Rhinolophus ferrumequinum: one gene and its partners. The protein of the gene in region 1 interacts with the protein of each later gene in a pairwise test. Links are inferred from orthologs where the notes say so. Each region holds a gene or a part of one and is shown on either strand. Other genes may lie near its edges.

Region 1 (7,414 bases):
AGAACCTTGTGGCTGGGCATCTGTCCTCCCCATCCCCCCATCCACCCCAGGCCAGGCTCACTGTCGGCGGTTGGTACTCATGTCTACACAGACTGTGGGGACCTTGGAGGAACAATGCTGGTGGAACTTGTAGCCACAGGTTTGGCAGCGGAAGCCATGGAAGAGAAACTTAAGGCAGAAGTCACAAAACGCCAGGCTGAAGAACGTCTTCCGTACCTGCTACCACAAAGCAGGGAAGGGTGAGGCCTGGTCAAGGACCCTCCCCCCACGCCCAGGGTCTGCACCCACTATCCCCCCTGCACTCACAAAATTGTGCATGGTCAGTGGGACATCTTCAAGGACCTCCACAATGAGCTCCTCGCCATCCAGGGGGGCAATGGCAGTGTCCCAGGAAGTGACTGTCTTTCGCCTGCAGGAGGTATGAAAGGAGTGAGTGGGAGGGTGGACAGGGCCTCGGGGAGGCAGGGAACCCCTAAAGGTACCTCCAAGTCTGCATCCACGGAGCAATATCTACCATGTTTCATTCCCATCACGGCAACCCTAGGAACTAGTTATTATCCTTACCCCCATTTTACAGATAAGGAAGCTAAGGCTCAGAAGGATAAAGTGACTTGCCCAAAGCCACAAGGGACTATGAGTAGCAGGACAGTGTGAAGAGGCCATGCTCTTAACCACAAGGTGAGAAGCAAATGAGATGGTGACTAAACAACTAAATCTCAGAAGTGCTAAGGAAGCCCCAGAAAAAACAGCCGATGAGGCATTAAAACAACAAATACATAGCAATGTGTGAATTGAATAAAAAAATTAAGGAACCTCAGAACAGAAGAATAAATGGAAGGCCCAACTCAGCAGACAGATAATGGGAAAATGGAGGTAGGACAGAGCCAACAAATTGATGAAAAAGTGAAAGAACAAAAGAGATGAACTCTGGAAGGAGGTGATGGAGCAGGGTGAAGACTTGGGGGTCAAAGAGAGAGTGAGATGTTGACCTGACAGGCCAATGAACTAACGAAGTAACGAAACAAAAGCTGGATGGACTCACAAATTCACTGAACTAAGTAAGGCAAGACTAACGGAGACTCCACAACAGAGTGAAGGAGTCGGATGACGCTGAGGAGGAGTTGGGAGGCTGGGCACCCAGTGGGCAGAGGACGAGGTGTATGCCACACTTACCCCTTGATGAGCCGGTAGACCACGCAGCAATCCTGATTGAGACCCCGCACCTTCAGGGCCTTGTCTAAAGAGTCGTAGACACTCATGCCATCCCGGACAGTCACCTGTGCAGATGTGGGGGATCAGTGCCCAACAGGGGCCCCAACTAACTCTCCCACCCCTCGGCCAAAGCCTCCTCCCAGCCCTAGTTACCCTTTTGACCCAAGATTTACAACTGGGTCCATCCACACCCCTACCAGGTTTGCTCCCTTCAGACTCACTACTGTGCGTTGCTTGTTGGGCAGGTACACTTTGACAGTGCCCACTGCCCGGGACGGCTCGGCCCCGTTGGCAGGGGGGCCCCGTGGTGGCTCCATGGAGCCTAGGACTTTGTCAAGATGGGCTGAGGCGGGGCTGGGCAGGTGCCATGGGGCTCCTAGAAGACAGAGGAGGAATTCAGAGGTCCAGTAATGATAGTCTGGAAGCACAGTGGCAGGAAACAAAAAGAATTTCAACCTCCAGGCTCCACGTCACGCCCAGTAGCCTAATTTCCACACAGCAGCCCAAGGGAGCCTGTTAACACTTTGAAGCCGATCCAGTTCCTCCTCTGCTCAGCCCAGCCAAGATCTCGGATTCACTGCATGGGGCCAGGTGGGGGTGGGACGACACAACGAGAGACAGCACACACTGTCCTGGAGGGAACAGGAGTACAAAAGTCTGTGCTGGGGGCTAATGGGGAAGTCAGCACACGGTGCACTGGGGTGTGTCAGGTACATAATGGACACGAACAGTGTCCCGGCTTTTTAATGGAGAAGGGGGTTACCAGATACTATGCTGAGGGAGGAGTCACAGACAGAGTGAAGGGGAATGAATGGAAGATCATCAGCTATTGCCCTTCGTTTGGGGAAAATGGGAATTGCACCAAAGAGTGTTCTTAAGGGTACTGTGGGCATCCCTACCTAAGCCCTGGCCTGCCATGACGGCAGGCTCACAAACACTGTTAGGTGGCTAATGGGAGTCACCAGACTGTGACGGGAGATCACAAGGCTCAGCAGACATTATGCTGAAGGAAGATGTAATAGAGGTCACTAGAGACTGTAATGGGGAGAAGAATGGATAAGGTGGTCACCGGACACTGTCATGGGGAAAAGGAGGGTAATGGTGAATCATTAGTCATTGTTGAGGTGAGATGAATAGAGGTAAAGCAGGGAGGCTCCAAAATTCTCGCTGACAACTAAGGGGTGACAGACATATTTCTGGTGATAATGGAAGGAGGCTGGTGAGGGTTAAGGAGGAGTAAGGGGGTAATCCTCAAACATTCTCCTAGTGGGTCAGACACTGATCCAGAAGAAGCAAGCGAGTAGTGAGCCGCGTCCCCATGCATTCCCCACTGTTGGTAAAGAAGGGTCATCAGATACCTTAAGAAGGTTTACAGGGGATCTGGGAACAACACACCACAGCCCAGGCCCAATTCAGCCCTGCCCCGCCTACTGAGTGCCTTCCAACTCTGCGCAGGCGTGCTACCACACGCGACGGGCGAAACCATCCCCCCGCAGCCTTGCACCCCTATTCCTGTCTACCCACCACTACCCCCCGCTGTCCGATGGTCTCGCCCCGGGTCAAACCACTCCTCCGGTTCCGGGCAGGGGGCGCCGGGGCCCAGGCGCAGCCACCCTGGAGCTAAGCTTTCGGTCCCGGCTCCTTGCCCATGCCCGGCGGTCGCTCCAGAAACCTAACCCTGCGGGGCCCGCCCTCACCTGTCAAGCTGCAACGGCCGCAGCCGCCTCCATCTTGGGCCTGTCTTCTTGTTTCCTCATAGAGTCCGCCTCCACCGCCCCTCGGACTTTCGCCATTGGCTCCACAGGACTCAGCCCTCTATCCTTATTGGATTAGGGTCACGCCTATCAAGGCAGGATAGGCGGAATGTGGGTCTTGTTCCGGATTAGGAGGGGCTGCTTGAAACGTCTGGGTCTGGGGCAAATTCGCACGTCCTGAGTCGCGCAGGCGCAGTCAAGAGACCTGCGTGCCAGGGGCTTTAACCCAATCGTACCGTGGCAGAATAAAGTGGGGCTTTTTTTCGGTCAGTTGGGTCTGACTTTAGGGCTTCCTGAATCTGGGCGGAGAATCCTTAAATGCCCCTTTTTGTTCCAGTGACCCGGAGGCCTAAGTAGCCGTTTGGGAGTTTCCTGGGTCTCCGTTTTACCGTCTTTGAAATGGGTTGGAATCAGACCAAATATCAGCAACGTTTTCCAATTCTGAAAAACTGAAGTCCTAGCCTTAGATAACAGCGGGTCTCTAGTGTGGCCGGCCTGGGGGTCTGGAACTAGGAAGAGTGGCCTGCTGTTCTGAGAGCTGTCCTTTAGGAATGGGGTTGATAAGGATTTTGTAAGGCTAGTCATAGATGGCCAGGTGAAGAGGGGAGGGAAGTGTGGACCTGGAATGGGGCACAAGTGCAGGGAAATGTATGGAGGAATTGAGGGGTAATTACAATTTTTTAGAAGATGACTTTTACCTGGTGTCAAAAGTGAAAGAGACTTTCCACCCTCCCTTTTCTTAGAGCATTTCCTTTAGAAAACTTGTAAATTTTTTTGTCCCCTCGAGATGTATGTAAATCTTTTTACAAGCTAAATAGGCTTCCTGCCAGTTTTACAACCCAAGGATGTTGTTCTTAGGGGCCTTGGAGTCATCTCTTTGAAATGCAAACATCAACAAAGATAGCGCCCCTTCTCCGTCAGGTAGGAATTTGACCTAGGCGTCTGGCGCCAAGTTGTTAGCTGCTTGTCAAAGAGATAGGTGTTTTATTTTTTTTCTTTGGATAAAGACAGATGGCTACCCCAGTTACCAGGTGAATTTGAGATGAACTGTGTAGCAAAAGGTACTGTCAAGTTCTCTTACTTAAGGACAAGTTATTGCCTTTCTTGAGAACAAGTATGTAATGGCTTGTATCTCCCCAGCCATTTAAAGGATGAGGTTTTACTGTCCTTGCAATCTCTTTAGCGAATTGCTTGTGATGCACATTGCAGTCTGGTTTAACACTTTTTGATAATACAGTGCTACCTCGGTTTTCTAATGTAATCCGTTCTGGAAGACCCTTCGAGTTCTGAAACGTTCGTAAAGAGCCGACAGCGAGGTGTCGGGATCCTGCACTCAGAGGAAGCCGCGTGACATGTTTGATGTGTTCGAAAACCGAAGCATTTACTTCCGGGTTTATGGCATTTGTAAATCGAAATGTTCGTCAACAGAGACGTTTGAAAACCGAGGTACTACTGTATAACTATTTAATTCTTTTCTACCTCTGTGGGGAGGATTCACCGGTTGGCACGAGATTTCACTTTTAATTTTTTGAACAGCCTGTTGTTTGAAGTGACTACATTCTCCTGTTTGGAGCCTCAGCATCCCTCTGATGAAGTGGGAAGGATCAGAGAAAGGTCATTAGGTGAGGGGGCCTCAACATACTTCAACTTGTATTTATTAAGTGCTTTCTCTGCCTATAAGGAGAGAGACAAAAGTTCTGCTTACTAGGCTGTCATATAACCTCTATTTCCCATCGTTTCTTTTCTATTAGGATCTTCACCATTCAATGGCTAAAATGAAAAAGACGGAATAAATACCGCATATTTATGAGAATGTGGAGCAATAGGAACTTTCATGCATTGCCATTGGGAGTGTAGAATGGTACAACCACTTTGGAAACAGTTTGGCATCTTCATGTAAAGTTAGACATATACATACCATGCAATCTAGCAGTCTCATTTCTCAGTATTTACTCCAGAGAAATGAAAACATGTCCAATGGCGTGCTCATAACTGTTTAACAACCAGCTGTCCAGGAAAAAAGCTCTAATTTGTAGTGTTTGCCAACTAAGACATAAACACTCCCACCATGGCTTATTTCAAGCTACTAATATGACACCATTGAACCAGAGTTGAGATTTGCAAAATTGGCTCTGGTGAGCCAGCCACAGCATGCTACTGCAATGTACCCACACAAAAATTTATACTCCAATATTCATATTAGCTTTATTCATAATAGCAAAAAAAAAAACTGCAAACAGACCAGGTGTCCAGCAACAAAAGAATTGACCAAGAAACACAAAAATGGGATCCTGGAATACTACTGTTAACCTAAAATTAGAAGGCCAAAGTGAGAGGCAATGAGCATTTATTTGAGATCCAAAGAAGAGCTATTTGGAAAGCACTGATTCAGGCAGAAACCCAAATAGTGTTCCCATTAGGAGGCAAGGCAAGAAGTATTTATGAGAAAGCGATGGGGAACAATTACATCAATAGAAGGAAGGCATTTCTGTAAGTGAGAATAAGCTAACAGTGATGCTAGTGCTAAAGAATGTTTTGAACTTTTCAGTCCATTAGTCATATTATCTGCTTTCTTGTTATCTTTGCAAACAGTTTTTTGGGGATTCCATGCTGCTTTAGGTCCAGTCCAAAGGTTATTTTGCCCAGTTTATGCATCCCATAGGTTTGAGGCGGAAGATGTGCAAGGCAGTTCCTCTGGGATAGCAGCTCTGACTCCATTTTAAAGTGGCTCCATTTATATTACTTTTCACACTACTCAGCAATGAAAGGCAACAAACTACTTCATGTGTCTATCTTACAGACATAAGATCGAGTGAAAGAAGCCAGACACAAAAGATAAATACTGTATTATTCCATCTGTATGAACATCTAAGCCAGGCAAAATTAATCTATAGTGAAGGAAAGCAGAGTAGTTGTCTTGTGGGAGAATGACTGAGAAGGGCATGAAGGAACTTTTGGAGGTGACTGGACAGTTCAGTATTCATTTATCAAAATTCATCAAACTCTATACTGAAAATGGGTACACTTTATTGTATGTAAAATATACCTCAATTTAAAAGAGCATGGCAAAAAAGGGGGCTTCAAACATAATTTTAAACATGTTGAATTCTTACAAATTCTTAGTGATTAGAGTTGTTTTTTTTTTAATTCTCTTTTCTGATTCGAAGCCCTAGAGCCGGCATCCCCATCTCCCAGTGGTGCAGCCCTGGCACCACATGGGGTCAGAAACAACTCCTGTTGGAGCTCAGTGAGGGGCTCCAAAACGCTCTCCAAAAGGAAGAATAATGTCAGGGGTGGGGAGTGCATTTTAAATTTCATTTCATTTGAATATTATTTAATTTATTTTAGAACTTTAATTTCTAGGCAGTATTTGAAGACAGACTTCTGGCTCCGTTGCACAACATTTACAAAAAGGTAAGCAAAATTCGACATGCTGTGCCAGAAAGGAGGGATGGAGGATGGAAGAGGGTCATGGCTCACTCAAGGACAAAGCTTTCTCCCTTAGGGACTCACTCCAAACCCATCCCAACTGGCACGACTTCAGCCAAGTACTTCACAGGTACTTAACAAGTCATGAAGGCCTTTAAAGTGACTTGGGTTTTTATCATCATCATCATCATCACATTAAAAACCATCAAGCGCACCATATATTAAAACAAAAATTAAAACCTGAACTAGCTGATTGTTTTTTCTGACATTCCCCTCGAAATTATCCACCTAGAAATTTTAAAAGATTTTAAAATGGTTGTTGGTTTTTATAATTGTTGATTTTCAATTCTTTGAAATATGTCTGAAAAACATACAAAATCTGAAGTGTTCACCAACCACTGTTGTAACCCTACCCATTTCACAGTTGATCCAATTGAGGTTCAGGCTGCCCTAACCGGAAGGACAGAGGAGAGAGAACTCCAGCATTTCAAGTTTGGTAAAAAGTGTTTGAACAAGGGTGTAGGCCAGGGGCACGCCCCTCTGTAAGGAATCTTGGCTCCGCCCCAGCAGTCCAGCGTGCCTGAGGCTCTCTAAACCAGCCACTCCCATTTCCCAACTTCACCACCCTCGCTCTCCCTGCCGCCGCCTGCAGAACGCCACGTCCGACAGCCCATCGCACAGCCTCCCGCTCCGCTAGCTACCCGTGTCGGGAGAGATGACCACGCACAGACCGAGACAAAACTGAGTGCCTCACTGGCCCAACTGAGAAGCCTCAACTATCCGCTCCGCTAGGCCCCCGCTGCGGTTTGGAGTGAGACATTCAGTGTTCCAGGCCCCGGACAGGCAGCGAGGTCACCCAATAGCGATGCAGTGGAGGGCGGGCTTTGGGATGCCACGGGCATTGATAGGCTCTACTTCACCCTAGCATTTAGAACGAGAAGAGACTGGACTTTGAGACTCCGAGGAGCCACTGGCAGACCAATAGCTACGCAGAGGACGTGGGCTCTGGGCCGTCCCAG
Region 2 (7,174 bases), on another chromosome or scaffold:
TATGACAGAGTCAAGTCACTGGCAGGCGGCTGCGTGTGCTCAGCTGCAACCACCGCTTCCCCCAGGGTGTGCTGGGTATGCCGCTGTGGCTGGGGGCTCATTTTACTGGTTTCAGGGGTGACTGCCTCCCTCGACCCTGTCAAGCCCCAGGGAGAGCTGCGCCAAGCCCAGGTGCTGCTCCACGGGAGGGGCGGCCAGGCCTGGCCAGCTTTTCTCTCCAGGGGAGTCCAAGTTGAAGACTGTCAGGGACCCTACTGCCGTGCAGCAGCCCTGTCACTCACTCGGGCTACAAACTCGAGGTGGGGGGGGAGAGACTGGACAATAAAGGGGAACGACCACAGGGCCTGCCCCATACCTGGAACAACCCCAGGAGAGATCAGGGAGGTAAAGCTGAGTGAGGCAGGCGCAGGTAACTAGCTGCCTGCAGGGAAATAGATGAGATGAGACTGGGAAGGGAGAGCGAGGGCTGCCCAATGCAGATTAGGGAAGAGTGTCAGGTTTAGGGCTTTCCTGTCTGTGCTGGTACCAACAGAAGTATGGTTAAGAGGAGTGATGGGGAGGGCAACAGCTCTAGAAAAATGCTACCTGTGAGGAACATAAAAGATGGGGGAGATGTAGCCTGGGGAAACTGAGGCCCAGGCTATGAGGGGTGACTCTGCTTAAATGCCTATAGGGCTGTCACCCAGAAAAGAAAACAGCTTTGTTTGGTGAAGGACATGGGGACGTGGATTTCAGCTCAGTACAGGAGATGCCCTTCTAATCACTGGGGCTGACATAACGAGCTACTTTGTGAGGCAGAGACCCTGTCTCTAACAACGCTGAGCACTTCCAGGATGCAGAGAGGACCAGGCACATTGGGCACTGTAACTCTGCAGGCCTTGGATATGGGATGCCTGCCAGTGAGATGCCACTGGCAATATGGGCAACATCCTGCAGCCCTGTCTCCTGTCAACGAGGTCTGATTTTTCAGGCCTCCCACCTTTCGTCTGCTAGTTCGTGTCCTGAGTTACTCACCAGGGGCAGCTCTCCACCCGGCCGGCGTAGCTGATAGGTACCCTGCGGTAGTGGCACTAGGTTGTGGCTGGATAGAAACTGGACTCCACTGCCGAGGCATCTCTAATTGGGGGAGAAAAGAGAAAGATCCATTCTGATGAGAGGGTGACTAGAAAATAAGTATAGGCCACACTAAAAAAGCAGGGGTTGCTTTAGTCTCATTTGCCCATTTTTATTGCATGCCTGCCACATGCTAGACGCTCTACAATCTTCCCAAGTTCTGAGAAGCCAGTGGAATTTGGTGGAAAGATAAAACATGGAATCTCTACCTCCAGGGCCTATACCTACCCTCCTCCCTCTGAAGCTGGGGGATACCAGATGCGTCCCAGGAAATGGTAACCTATTGTGGAAGAAGGCTAAATGTGTCAGCTTAATTTAATCCCTTAGTCTGAAAATGGGCAGGCTGATCCTCGATGCCAGGGGCAAGCAGTCTTCTCTCATAAGCCCACCCCACTTCTGCTGGCCTTGTAAGACCAGAGACCTGGGCTTTCAGAGGTAAACATTGATAACTTTTTGTCCTAGGCACAACCCTGGAATAAACCTACCATGTCCTGGTCTAGGGTTGGGCTGCAAGCACGGCCACTTAGGGAGTCACTGGGGCAAAGATGTTGCCAACCTCATGTGAACGGCATTTCTTCTACCAAATAATGAACTGAAGCTCCATGAAAGAAGGGCCTGTGCAGGTCCTGTTCAATGCTGCACTCTAGCATCCAGCACGGAGCCAGACGCCTTGATGTCAAAAACCTGATAGAACCACTCTTCCATTTCCACATTCCCTGGGCCATTCCTCTGCATTCCATGCTTCCTGTCTCCAGAAACCCTAGGCAACATCCCAAACTTACACAGATACCACCATCTCCTACAGCTACTCAAGTGTAACTCTTGGGCGTTTAAACAACTTGTTTTACTTCTCTAAATGCCTACACCCATTGGAGCCACTGACTTCAGTAACAGTCTGAAATGGAAGGAGATGGCTGTCTAACTTGGGAGAGAAATTCCATAGCAGAACCAAACCTGAGGGTAACTCCCCCTTGGTGTTGTCCAAATCCAAAAACGTGTAAATTCAACCTCTAAACCGTGACTCAAAAGACAGGCAGCCAAGAAAAAAAATCAATCCAGGATCAAAGACACCTTCTTTCTCCCGACACTCAGATTCCAATGAAATATTTCCCTTCCTCCAGAGTCTGGCTCTGGAGTCAGCCACCCCACTAACTCTGAGACTATGGGCAGGTTGCTTGAAAAGGTTGTCTCATTTCCTAACCTGTGAAATAGCGGCCGCAGCAGCAACATAAAGTACTACGTTCTGCGTGAGCTTTACACGCCTTGACTCCCACCGTCCCTCTGAGCCCAGCCCTTAGCAAGAGCCAGAGTTACCTCCCGCACTTTCACACAGACGTACAGGAGAGGCAATGCAGGAAATGCTCTCGACAGAGGCCCTGGCATATAAACGTGAGCCATGCCTGTCACGGTTTTTTGCCTTCTCGGTACTTTTTCTCCACTGGGCGCCAAGGCCACCCTTCACTCCGCGGTGCACGTGGGGTCTCACCAGGAGGCGAGGGACGCCGATCCGCTCCCTGCCCAGCCCCACGCAATACCGCCCCTGCCCGGCACGCTCGGCGTCGGCGCTCAGGCCTCGCTCCGGGTCGCCTGCCCCAGCCTCAGCTGACTCAACGAGCCAACCCCAAGCCTCTCGCCGAGCGCAGGGCAGGGCCGAGGGGGCCAAAGGCGTGAGGAGAAAGCCCTGGAGGTCGCGGGCCCAGAGGTCCCTAGGCCGGTCACCCTCCCAACTCCCCCTTGGCACCCCGGCCCCACAGGTCCGCTCACCCGCGGGCAGCGGCACCAGCCTCCCCGCAGCGCCGCTGCCGCCATGTTGGAGGATCCCGTGTGACCTTCTTTCGGCGCGGCCCGATGGCGTCATCCTTCGCGTCTCCGCCGAGCGCCAGGGGCCTGGGAAAAGCGGGACCGCGGCACCCGGTTGAGGAGAGAAAAGGCCTCTGATTGGACAGAACTCCCCAGGGAGGCAGGGCCTTGGGGCGGTCTGCTATAGGGGCGGGGCCTGATTAGGGGGCGGGGAATTCCTAGAGAGCTAGGCCTCTGATAGGACAGGATTTTGGAAGAGCGGACCTCTGACTCGAACTCCTGTGAGGTAGAGACCTAAAATTGGATACTACTACAGAGGGGCGGAGCCTGAGGGCGTGGATTCCCTCGCGAGCAGTGCTTCCCCTACAGAACACGCGCGGTTCTTTCTGGTGGCGGGAAGGACGAGCAGGCCGAACGACCTATCACAAGTACGGATTCAGTTGGATTCTGACTCATTGACCAGCGAACCAGCCCGATCGTGATTGACTCTAGCTCTCACTGACAGTGACAGACTGACAATGACCGACAGACGGGCAACTGTGTTGCTCCAAGAGCAAGAGCGAGTGAGCTCTTTTGTACACTTTGGGAAGGCGCCTGATGGTTTTGGTCCAGAACAGGAAGGGGACGCTGAGACCAGGTTGAGTGTGGGCCACCCCTCCATCGATTCAGTGCGAATTAACATACCTTGCCCTGAAGAATCTCGGGCCTCTGTCCTTTCAGCACCCAAGTACTATTTTCCATTTAGAGAATGCCGCCACCAAGTGGCGGTACCTTGACGTGGCCACGCTATCGGAGGCTGGGAAGAGGGAGGGGTGGTCCCTTGGGAGAGTTAATGTATGTATGTTGTGTTTGCCCAATGGAAGCATTTGCATTATTAAGTTGTGATAAGGTCTATGGGACTTGAAAGAGGTAACCTACACATTCTGGCTTCAGGGTTGGATAGATCTGCGTTTTCTGTCCCTCAGGAGATTCACCTCAAGGTAGGAGCAAGGCATGAAGGCTCTACTCTGGCTTTGTTTGAAATCCCTTCACTCCAAGAGGAGCAAACTAGTTACATGGTTGGGATATACAGGTTTGTTGTTGAGAAGAAAGTCTGGGCTTCTTAGTTGTAGTTGGTGTTAGGTCTCTGAATGTTAGAGACCTTGACTTAATGTTAGGTCTCTGAATGTTAGGTCTCAGACACCTTCACTTGCAGACAGAGCCATGTCTGCAAGAAAACAACAAAATATCTGTTAGCCTGCACCTGCAGACAGAGCCAAACTTGCGATAACAGAAAACGCCACAAACCAGCTACTGGCTTACAGGCAGTGAGCATTTTCTGCTCAAACAATGCTACCCTGTCAGCACCGCCCCTACATAACCCTCCTCACCCCCTCCCTTGGGGCTACAAATCTCCTTTAGACAGGCAGCCTGGGCTATAGCCATCTTTGCTCAGCCCGACAGACTTTCTCTTAATAAACTTTCTTAACGTGCCTGACCATACACGGTCCTTTATCGGCCGACCTATCAGTTGGGACCATGGAGGTGGACAAGGGCACCCAAGAAGAATGTGTCAAACAGGCACATCAAAGGCCCAAAGGTAAAGTTGAGGATGAAGAGCCTTTAAAGGAGACTGGACAGGACTGGTCAACAGGTAGGAAGAGAACCTGGAGGGCCTTGGAGAAGGCGATGGAGTAATCAGTGTTGAATGCTGCAGAGGGCTCAGGCAAGACAGGTGAGGCCAGAACTGTATCCGTCATTTTTGCATTTTACAATATTGAGGGCTTGGGGGGACAAGCAAGAGGGTTTGGGTTGAATGGTGTCTGTGGAAGTCAGATTTCAGTGGGTTGAGATTTTTTTTTTTACAGGGGTGTGTTGGAGCCAGTGTGTACTGGCTGGTGAAAGCCAACTGTCAAATTTTTAGGAATTTTGAGCCAGTTGCTAAACACAGCCATTATTTAAAAATGGATTGTATAACCTTATGATCAAATGGATTATATTAAGACAAAGGTAATAAATACTCAAAACTCAACACTTCCTAATTATTTTACTACATGTTACTATCTGTGCTGCTGAGGTTATTCACATATATCACATCTGTGCTCTGGAAATACTATATGATATGAGCTGCTGCACTGCATACTGAGTCTGTGTTTAAAGACACCACATCAGTAGTTTGAAATTGGCCATAGTGGGAGTATTTACACCACAGGAATTGACAAACACTATAGGTCAGGAGCTTTTTGGTTTGTTTGGAGGGACAGTTATTAAACAATTAATCAGCACATAGAGGGAGTGCCCAGAGACTCCTCTGAGGAATATCTGCTGTGAGCGAAAGGTGAATGACGACAGCTTGGAGAAACAAGTGTGGAAGAGTGAGGGTGGTTTGATTGTTTGTTTTTCCCAACTTTTTATTTTTATTTATTTATTTATTTATTTTTAAAGATTTTATTGGGGAAGGGGAACAGGACTTTATTGGGGAACAGTGTGTACTTCCAGGCCTGTTTTCCAAGTCAAGTTGTTGTCCTTTCAATCTTAGTTGTGGAGGGTGCCGTTCAGCTTCAAGTTGTTGTCCTTTCAGTCTTAGTTGTGTCGGGCGCAGCTCAGCTCCAGGTCCAGTTGCTGTTGCTAGTTGCAGGGGGCGCAGCCCACCATCCCTTGCGGGAGTCAAACCGGCAACCTTGTGGTTGAGAGGACGCGCTCCAACCAACTGAGCCATCCGGGAGCTCAGCAGCAGCTCAGCTCAAGGTGCCGTGTTCAATCTTAGTTGCAGGGGGCAGAGCCCACCATCCCTTGAGGGAGTCAAGAAATTGAACTGGCAACCTTGTGGTTGAGAGCCCACTGGCCCATGTGGGAATCGAACTGGCAGCCTTCGGAGTTAGGAGCATGGAGCTCTAACCGCCTGAGCCGCCAGGCCGGCCCATCAACTTTTTATTTTGAAAAGCTTCAAAGCTGCAAAAAAGTTGCAAGAATACTATAATCAAAACTTATATACTCTTCATGTAGATTCATTTTGCCTCACTTGCTGTAGCATTCTCTCTCTAATATACATACGAGGTCTGAACTCATCCTAGAAAAAGTGCTCCACACCTCATTGCTGAATATCACTACGGCCACCTTCCAAGTCCTCCTCTTGGGAAGCTGTGCACGGACGCTTCGCCTGGTCCACCCTTCAAAGCAATTTTGGAACTCTTTTTCTGGAATGGCCATCAGAGCTGTCGTCGTATTACCCTTGATGTCCTGAATGTCATCAAAATGTCTTCCTTGCAATGTTTCCTTTATCTTTGAGTAAAGAAAGAAGTCATTGGGGGCCAGATCAAGTGAGTAGGGAGGGTGTTCCAATACAGTTATTTGTTTCCTGGCTAAAAACTCCCTCACAGACAGTGCCGTGAACTGGTGCATTGTCGTGATGCAAGAGCCATAAATTGTTGGCGAAAAGTTCAGGTTGTCTAACTTTTCTGCGCAGCCTTTTCAGCACTTCCAATAGTAAACTTGGTTAACTGTTTATCTAGTTGGTTCAAATTCATAATGAATAATCCCTCTGATATCAAAAAAGGTTAGTCACATCATTGCAACAAGTTTGCGAACTTAATTGTCAGACTGCATGCATGTGTGCCTGTGTATGTGTGTATACATACATACATACATACATACATACATACAGGGGGTGTCAAAAAATGTATACACATTTTAAGAAAGGAAAAAACTATATTAAAATTACACTGATGGTAACCACTTCGAGCACCTCTTGTAATTGCAGAAGTCAAACGTGACTTGTATTCATCTCTGTTATTGGTATACATATATTGAGTATTACAATTTTAATACAGTTTTCCTTTCTTAAAATGTGTACACATTTTTTGGTACTATATATATATAGTGCACTATATATATTATATATTATATATATTATATGGCTATATATATATTTATATATATATATCCAAACAAACAAATATGTATAAAAATATACACAGATGGTTCTCAACTTATGATGGTCCAACTTAGGATTTTTCGACTTTACAATGGTGCGAAAGCCATACACATTTAGTAGAAACCGTACTTCGAATTTGGAATTTGGATCTTTTCCCGGGCTAGCGACAGGCAGTGCGATACTCTCCCATGACGCTGAGCAGTGGCAGCAGTGAGACAACTGTGCCCAGCAGTGTCTGAGCACTTTTACGGAGGCTGGGCTACCTGTGGTGTTCGGTAGGTGAGTGTATCAGATGCGTTTTCCACTTGCGGCATCCTTAATTTATGATGGGTTTATCGGGACATAACC
Region 3 (7,566 bases), on another chromosome or scaffold:
AACTCAAACCCTTCAGAGGAGCCAAGAGTGCAGGCTCCCAGCCCCGCCTCCCCCGAAGGCCCAGGAGTCGGGCCCTGGAATCCAGACTCCCAGCCCCTCCTCCCTTGGCCCCAGATGTCTAGCAGCCTCACCAGGATAAAGGCAGTAGGAGAAAGCGTAGGGTCTCTGTCCGGGGGACCATCGCCCCGATCTTCACCCGACTCCTCTGTTTTCCCTCGAGACTCATCTTCTTCCTCCATGGTCACCTGGAAGTTGAGGGGGTGAGTTTGGAGTTCAGACAAACAGGGCTGTGGGGTGGGGTGTGGGGTGTGGAGGGGACAGAAGCAGAGGACGAACACAAAGACCTCAAAGGCCTCCACCATTGCCTCAATCAGCATCCTCTTCAGTGTCCCTCCTCTCCGCCACTCATCCCGGTCCTTGGGAGGGTACTGGGTCCAATGCAGATACCAGAGGGACTAGAGCGATTCTCTCCCCTGGTCTGGATTTCAGCTGCCTCCTCTGTTGGAAGGGAGGCCCTCCCAGCCTATTTCAACACCCCACCCCCCAGTTCCCACCGTTTCCCCCACAACCAAACTTAAGACCTCACTGGCCCACTTTCATGGGAGCCAACACAATGCCAAGATTTTTTTCTGTTGAGTTGTGATTTCAAATAGTGTGCTCCATAGTCTCATACACCTAGCTTTCCCAAACTGAGGTATGCGCCAGTGTGCTGGGTGTATCTCAAATATGACACAACTTCCTAAAGCATCAATCTTCCTCGATGGTGAGGAACGAGAAACAATTTATTTATATATACAATAGAAAGTGGACCCATGATAACGTGATTTACAAAACCAACATGCCACTTTTGAAATGAAAACACTAATTTCAGAAAGGTGTGCTGCTCACCAGAACCCCTGGGGACATCTGCCTATGTCCTGTCTGCCCATTGTGTGGAAGCATGGCTAAAGCCTTTACGATATCACAAAAATTCATAGATTATACTAAAGTTGAAAGGTCATCCTTCAGATTGGGGGTTGTCTTAATTGGGCTTCAAACAACAGGAATATTTCAGCTGTGGGATTGCCAGCGACCATCAAATCTGCTACTCTGAAACAATATCCAGTCTCAAAGTTTCTAGAAAGCTTCAAATCCCTAACCCCCAACTCAGTGTGCTTATCTGTATGTGGCAGAATTGGAGTATCTACCTCAGAGGAAGGCTGCGAGAAATTGAAAGGAGACACTTCTGCCACAGTGTTAGCATAACCCAGTACTCAATACAGAGTAATAATAATAATCGTTATTAGTCTTTAGGGCCCAGGTTTCCCCCCCCGTCTCCCCAACTTCCCCAGCTGTATACCTGCAAAGAAAAGTCCTCTGTCCTGGTCTCCCTTGGACCAGATGTTCAAGCTTTGCCAAAGTTCCTCCATGCAGCCTCCCAGCTCTCTAAGAGCCTGAGGTTCCTTCCCTAACTCGCATTGACACCCACCCTGATAAGGCCCTAAGGACAGTTCCAGCCCTGGAGCTGCTCACCAGCACCTGGGGGCAGGGTGGGGGTAGAAAGCGCAAATTACAGTGACTGTCACATAACAGAAGCTTAACCAAGGTCTGACTACAAACACACAGATCCCAAACCCTCAGCAGGTATGAAGATGCTCCCTTGCCCACGCAGACATGCCCCAGGCTCTGCAGATACACCCAAGGCTCCTTGGGTCTTTTCCATATGAGAAGGCCCTGCAGACATTGCTAGATCTCTCTAGATCAGTCATTCTCAAACTACAGAGTCTGACAGCAGTATATTGCTTCACAAATAGCTTGTTATAAAAAGTAAATCAGATGCTGAAAATTATTCATAATACATCGCAAGTAGTAAGTGGAAATATCAATTAATGGGACATGGGTATTAACTTAAATACATGTCGGTGGGTACTGGGCCTCAATGAAAAATGTATATTTTCTTGCTATAGATCAAGGTCAAAAGAGCTTAAAAAGCATTGTACTAGATGATTCTATAAACTTTCCCAGACTAATGTAAGCTAATTCGAACTCTTGCCATAACACCAGGGCAACACAAAATTTTAAAATATTTTTCATCTCAATTACCTTCTAAAGTGCAAATACACTTGAGCTCAGCAAATTTTCCAATACTCTCCTTTGTCTTATTCTCCATCTGATTATATGGCCCCAAACGGCATTCGAATTTGCTGCAGGCACACTCAAAGCCACCTAGATGATTTCAGGTCCTTTTAACTGCCCCAGCCCCCTGTCACCCAGATTAAACACCTCCCAGATGATGGAGACCTCTCAGCACATCTCAATATTTGCCTCCCTCCCTTGGTGAGCACATCCCACCTCTAAAAGACTTTCTAACCCAGGAAGTTCTTTCAGGCCCGCTAAACGGCCCCGGACCCAGGTAGCTGAGTGGCATCCTCACGTCAGCCCATGTAGACACTTCCCAGCCCCAACAAACATACCCCAGGCGCTATAGATGGCTCTGCAGAAACTCCTCAGCTCTTGCAAACCTCCTTCACCCCTGGGATATATCTCAAGATCTCAGGTTGGCCCCAGAACCCTATGAACAGACCCTAGCCTCCGGTCAACCCATAAAGACGATCAACAGTGCCTACAGAGATGACCCAAGCCGGCTATATGATGGAGGGCAGGCGCCAGCTTCGGTCCAGACCCTGTGGACGTTCCCAGTTCTCCCGGGGATGCTCCGTAGGTGGCCCCCGGCACCCAGAGACACGTCCCAGGGCCTTGAGAAGGCCCCCCGTTCGGCGCCAGGTTCCGCCGCCGCTGCCGGGCCAGAGGCCACCCCGCTAAGTCCTCCAGACCCTGTGGCGTGTTGGAGAGGACCCCAGGACTACTAGCGACCCGACTCCGCCCCGCCCACCCCAATAGGCCTGAGCCCCGCGGTCCGGACCACCGCCGCCATCTTACCCCGCCGCTCGGGCTGCGGCTCCGGCCCCGGCGCGGGGCGGGGCGGGCTGGGGCGGGGGGTTCGCTAGCGGAGGGAGGAGAGGGGCGGAGCTAAAACGCCGCCGAGCTTGCCGGGACTTCAAGTACCGAGCACGGTGCCGTGAAGGCTGGTGGGAAGGCTCCGGACTCAGTTTCCCAGAAGTCAACGGGCCACACGGGCAGGGGTGCGCCGGGAGGCGTAGTCCGCGCGTCGCCTCCGTCACGCGGGCGCAGCAAGGAGGTGAGAGGTGAAGTGGGCGTGGTTGCAGTAGCCCGCGATGAGGCCCCACAATTCCATGCGTACGCGCGGAAAGAGCTGCGGAACAGGACGTGACGTAAAGAGCACTCAGCCGGACAGATGCAAGGGAATTGTAGTTCCGCGGAGTAAGTAGTGGAAAAAAAAAGCTGTCCTGCCTGGGAATTGTCCCGCCCACATTGTGGGGATCCCAGAATCCCGATCCCCCCCAGTCCCCTCTAAATTTAGAACCAAGAAGCCCTGCCCCACAGCCTCCTTCATTTAGGTCCGAAAAGTCCAAATTCCGATTCCTCTCACTTGGCAGAGGAGTCCAGACTCCCATTTCCCTCCTCCTTCCTTATATCCAGGAGTTGGGCCCTCAGGCTTTTCCTCCCTCAGACCATTTCTGGTCTTAAGCTCGTACTTTACATGAACACAAGTGTTCGGGTTCCCCACACCAATTCCCTCGAGATCCAGAATTCTGGGTTCCCAGAGCCTCGAACCCCGGGACCCAAGAATCTGGACTTCCAGCTCCCTCCTTTACGAAACGGGTAGTCCTAATAGTAAGGACCCCCAGATCTCCTCCCCTCCGGGATACGGAACTCCAGGTCTCCAGACCAGTTCTCTCCTACGGAGTTTCCTTCTTCAAAGATCCAGAAATCCTGGCTCTAGGCCCTTCATGACCCAGGCGTCCCGGCTTGGGCGAGCTGGCTCATGGATTAGGAATGCAGTGATCTCACGGCCCCTCCCTGCCCCGTTACCCGGCTGTCCCCCTCCAGGGCCCCAACTCCCCTCCCAGTCTGTCTTCCGCTTGGCTGGGACTGCGGCAACCGGAAGCCTGGGTCCCTTAGCGGGCGGAGACTCCAACATCCAGCCCAAACGCCCGGGTCGGCAGTTTGGCTCAGATCCCAGGACGGAGGTGGAGCTTCCCCTCAGGACCTGCTCACTTCCTCGGAGCGCGCCTATATACGGCCGCGCGCGAGTCGGCGAGCCCCGCCTACTAGAACAAGGCCTTGGGGAAAGTGCCCTGAGAAGCTGCTTCACAGGATTCTTCATTTGCATATCCCCTCCCCGAATAATCTTCCCGACCTGTCTGCCGAAAGAATGAGCTCTTATTAGCATAGCCACGCCCCCAAACGGCCCGCCTGCCCAGAGCGCGTGGAGCAGCTCTGGGTAAGCACAGTTCTCTCATTAGCATATCCCCACCCCTTTCGGAATTCCCCTTAGTGGCGAACGTCGTTCCCCTGCCTTTATTAGCATAGCTCCTCCTTTTCCCTGGCCTTACCTCCTCAAGTGTTCCGAGACTTGTGCCCTTCTTGCCGGAGCTCATGATTATGCAGTAGCCTTATTAGCGTGGCCCGCCCCTAGGCCCCGCCCGGCTCCCCCCAGGCGGTAGCGGCGGCGGCGGCAGCGGTGGCGACATGAGCAGCGGGGCGGCGTCCGGGACGGGGCGGGGGCGGCCCCGGGGCGGGGGGCCGGGACCTGGGGACCCCCCACCCAGCGAGACACACAAGCTGGTGGTCGTGGGCGGCGGCGGCGTGGGCAAGAGTGCGCTGACCATCCAGTTCATCCAGGTAGTGGGCCCTCACCCGGGGGGTGTCCCCGGGACCCAGAACGTAGCCCTTGGGGGGGATCCCTGAGACCCCGATTTCCCCCTCCATCCATCACTGAGACCCTCCTATGAGGCCCTCTAATCTTAAAAATTCCCCTCAGATCGTGACCCTGAGCGCCCCAGGACCTCCACCCCCTACATGAGGGACCTTCCTCCTATACTCATCCTGAGACCCACCGTCCCTCCTGCCAGAACCCCCCTTCCCTGCTGACCTGACCCAGATCACCTCCTGGGAGCATCCTAAATCCATGTCACCACATTCTGACCTTAAACACTCTCGTGTGTCCGCCCGTAGGTGCCACTTTCCCTCACCCTGAGTCCCATCTCCCCCAAATCCTAGGCTCCAGCTTCCCTTCTGAGCCACCCAGAGCCTAACTTAGGAGAAAGCCTGTGCCCAAAGCCCTTGAGATGATTCCAGTCTGGATGCTTAGCTCCTTCAGAGACCTCCCTGAATCTAGAAATTATGCCCAGACTGTTCCTGAGGCCAATCTGGGACCACTCTAAAAGAGGCACCCTCAGACCCTAGGAGAGTTCAAATAGATCCTGCCAGTTGGCTCTTCCAGAGAACTGTAAGACCCCCAAGTCTTGTGGCTCCCCCATCCTACCAGACCCAGACCTCTACCCTCCCCCAAGGAAAACCAACCACTCCTCCATCTTGAGTTCTCCTCCATTCCAACTCTCTGAGCCCCTCTCAGAAACTCTGGTTAGCCCCCAAATCTCCATGGAAGAAGCCCCCAGATTCTTGATATCCCCAGAAAGATCCACTCCTTGGGAGTGTCTCTGACCCCATAAATGCCTGTCAGGGTCTCTAAGACTCTAGACACACCTGACCTTCTCCTGAGGTGCTCTGAATACACACCCCTAATTCCCCCAGGGCCTGGTCCCTACACCCTCCCTCCAGCACAAGCCTCAACAAGCACACCTCCAGAAGACTGGATGCAGCCCTCAGACCCCCAACTACCATATCTCCCCTTCTCCACTTAAAATCCACCCCTGCCCAGGAAACCTCCACCCCATTCCCAAGGGGAACACCCTCCCACCTCAGAGAAACCCTAGAAAGGTGTCTGCTCCTGAGACGCTACTGCAGAGGCCCTTGGGTCCCAGACCCATTAAGAGACCCCAGCCAGGCCTGCATGGCAGCCCTTGTCTGTGTAGAGAAAGGCCCCCCGTCCCTAGGCCCCTGTCCCTAGGGGCAGACCTGAAGCTGTCCAAAGGCCTGGCTGGAGGCGGGCGGGACGCAGGAAGGGAGGGGCCCAGCCTTAGGGCGGGGCAGTTTCTCCACAGTTGGATTGGAATTGGGACCTTCCCCTGGGAGGAGACACTAAAAGCCGCCCAAGGAGGGGGGGGGGGAAGGAGGAGGGGGAAAAAAGAGGGAAGAGAAAAGGGGGGAGGGAGAGAAGTAGACAGGCAGATAGTCTGGTTCCCAGTAACTGAGCGAATACTATGTCCAGGGAATGTGTTAAATGCGTAGATGTCAAATGGATTTTTCCCTGAATCTCACAAACACTGGATTAAGTGTAGTGCTATATTTACCCTCATTTTCCAAATGAGGAAACAGGTCCAAGAGAGGGGAAGCGATTTGTTCAATGCCACACATCCAGGACATAATAACGATTTGGGAGATATACTTTATACCAGAGAGGACCAGGAGAGCCTTAGGGACGCGGCTGGGGGGAGGGGGCGGGACAGAGAGCCAGAGAGAGAGATTCAGGTTCAGAGAGGATGGGCAGAGAAAGGTGGACCCCAGGGGCAGGGCTATGCCATTTCTGCTGGAGATATACTTTATACCAGAGAGGACCAGGAGAGCCTTAGGGACGCGGCTGGGGGGAGGGGGCGGGACAGAGAGCCAGAGAGAGAGATTCAGGTTCAGAGAGGATGGGCAGAGAAAGGTGGACCCCAGGGGCAGGGCTATGCCATTTCTGCTGGGGCACTACAGTAAGTGTCCTCTCCTCACCCTACCAGTCCTACTTCGTGTCTGACTACGACCCCACCATCGAAGACTCCTACACAAAGATCTGCACCGTGGATGGCATCCCCGCCCGGCTGGACAGTGAGGGTGGCAGGGAGTGGGTGGGGGAGGGTGGGGGTGTCTAGGGAGATCTCGGTCCCCACAGCAGCCCTCTCCCCCCCTCTGCAGTCCTGGACACTGCGGGTCAGGAGGAGTTCGGCGCCATGCGGGAGCAGTACATGCGCGCTGGGCACGGTTTCCTGCTAGTGTTTGCCATTAACGACCGGCAGAGGTGAGAGGAGCCGGGAGGTGGCAAAGCAGTGGGGACCGCGGCTGAGCTGCTGAACCTCACGCCTCTCGCTTCATCTGCAGTTTCAATGAGGTGAGCAAGCTCTTCACGCAGATCCTCCGAGTCAAGGACCGCGACGACTTCCCCATCGTGCTGGTCGGGAACAAGGCAGATCTCGAAACACAACGTCAGGTCTGGGACCGCCGGGGACCCCATCTCAGCCTGGGAGGCTGCTTCCTTCCAGTGCACCGCCTGCCTCTCTTCATATCAGCATCCTCCTCTGGCTCTTGCAGTCCTGCTCCCTTTATTGTCACACACCTCACTAGATGTGTTGCCACCAAGTCAGACCTTCTGGGTCAATTGGCCCTGACTGCCCCATCCCCGCCCCTTGTTCCCACCTGGACCCTTGCGCCATCCGCCTGTTTCTCCCTTCCAGTCAGTTTCCCACTGGGTACCCGCTGCCCCGGCCCCTTCCTCTGCTCCCAGCCCTCTATGGCTCCCCAGCACCGCTGGGAGAAAACCTCAGCTCTTCCACCGGGGGCTTG

Evidence for each region. The genes of interacting proteins can lie anywhere in the genome.
Region 2: the proteins of ARAF (region 1) and TIMM44 interact in binary tests that used the Homo sapiens proteins (3 or more experiments, as listed by UniProt). The link is inferred for Rhinolophus ferrumequinum from reciprocal best matches to the Homo sapiens genes ARAF and TIMM44.
Region 3: the proteins of ARAF (region 1) and RRAS interact in a two-hybrid assay, tested with the Homo sapiens proteins (2 studies listed by BioGRID). The link is inferred for Rhinolophus ferrumequinum from reciprocal best matches to the Homo sapiens genes ARAF and RRAS.

Annotation. Positions count from the first base shown.
Region 1 is NC_046284.1:86,427,614-86,435,027, forward strand, and holds the start of ARAF (serine/threonine-protein kinase A-Raf), read right to left. Parts: upstream 3,002-7,414; 5' UTR 2,910-3,001; intron 1,589-2,909; 5' UTR 1,530-1,588; coding exon 1,434-1,529; intron 1,278-1,433; coding exon 1,174-1,277; intron 410-1,173; coding exon 307-409; intron 217-306; coding exon 62-216; intron 1-61. UniProt on the Homo sapiens protein: Involved in the transduction of mitogenic signals from the cell membrane to the nucleus. May also regulate the TOR signaling cascade. Phosphorylates PFKFB2.
Region 2 is NC_046301.1:56,910,636-56,917,809, forward strand, and holds the start of TIMM44 (mitochondrial import inner membrane translocase subunit TIM44), read right to left. Parts: upstream 3,019-7,174; 5' UTR 2,923-3,018; coding exon 2,878-2,922; intron 1,117-2,877; coding exon 1,015-1,116; intron 1-1,014. UniProt on the Homo sapiens protein: Essential component of the PAM complex, a complex required for the translocation of transit peptide-containing proteins from the inner membrane into the mitochondrial matrix in an ATP-dependent manner.
Region 3 is NC_046298.1:44,726,008-44,733,573, reverse strand, and holds the start of RRAS (ras-related protein R-Ras), read left to right. Parts: upstream 1-4,548; 5' UTR 4,549-4,593; coding exon 4,594-4,746; intron 4,747-6,746; coding exon 6,747-6,834; intron 6,835-6,921; coding exon 6,922-7,024; intron 7,025-7,104; coding exon 7,105-7,213; intron 7,214-7,566. Other genes in the region: SCAF1 (splicing factor, arginine/serine-rich 19), read right to left, coding at 132-245, 345-377. UniProt on the Homo sapiens protein: GTP-binding protein with GTPase activity, likely involved in the regulation of MAPK signaling pathway and thereby controlling multiple cellular processes. Regulates the organization of the actin cytoskeleton.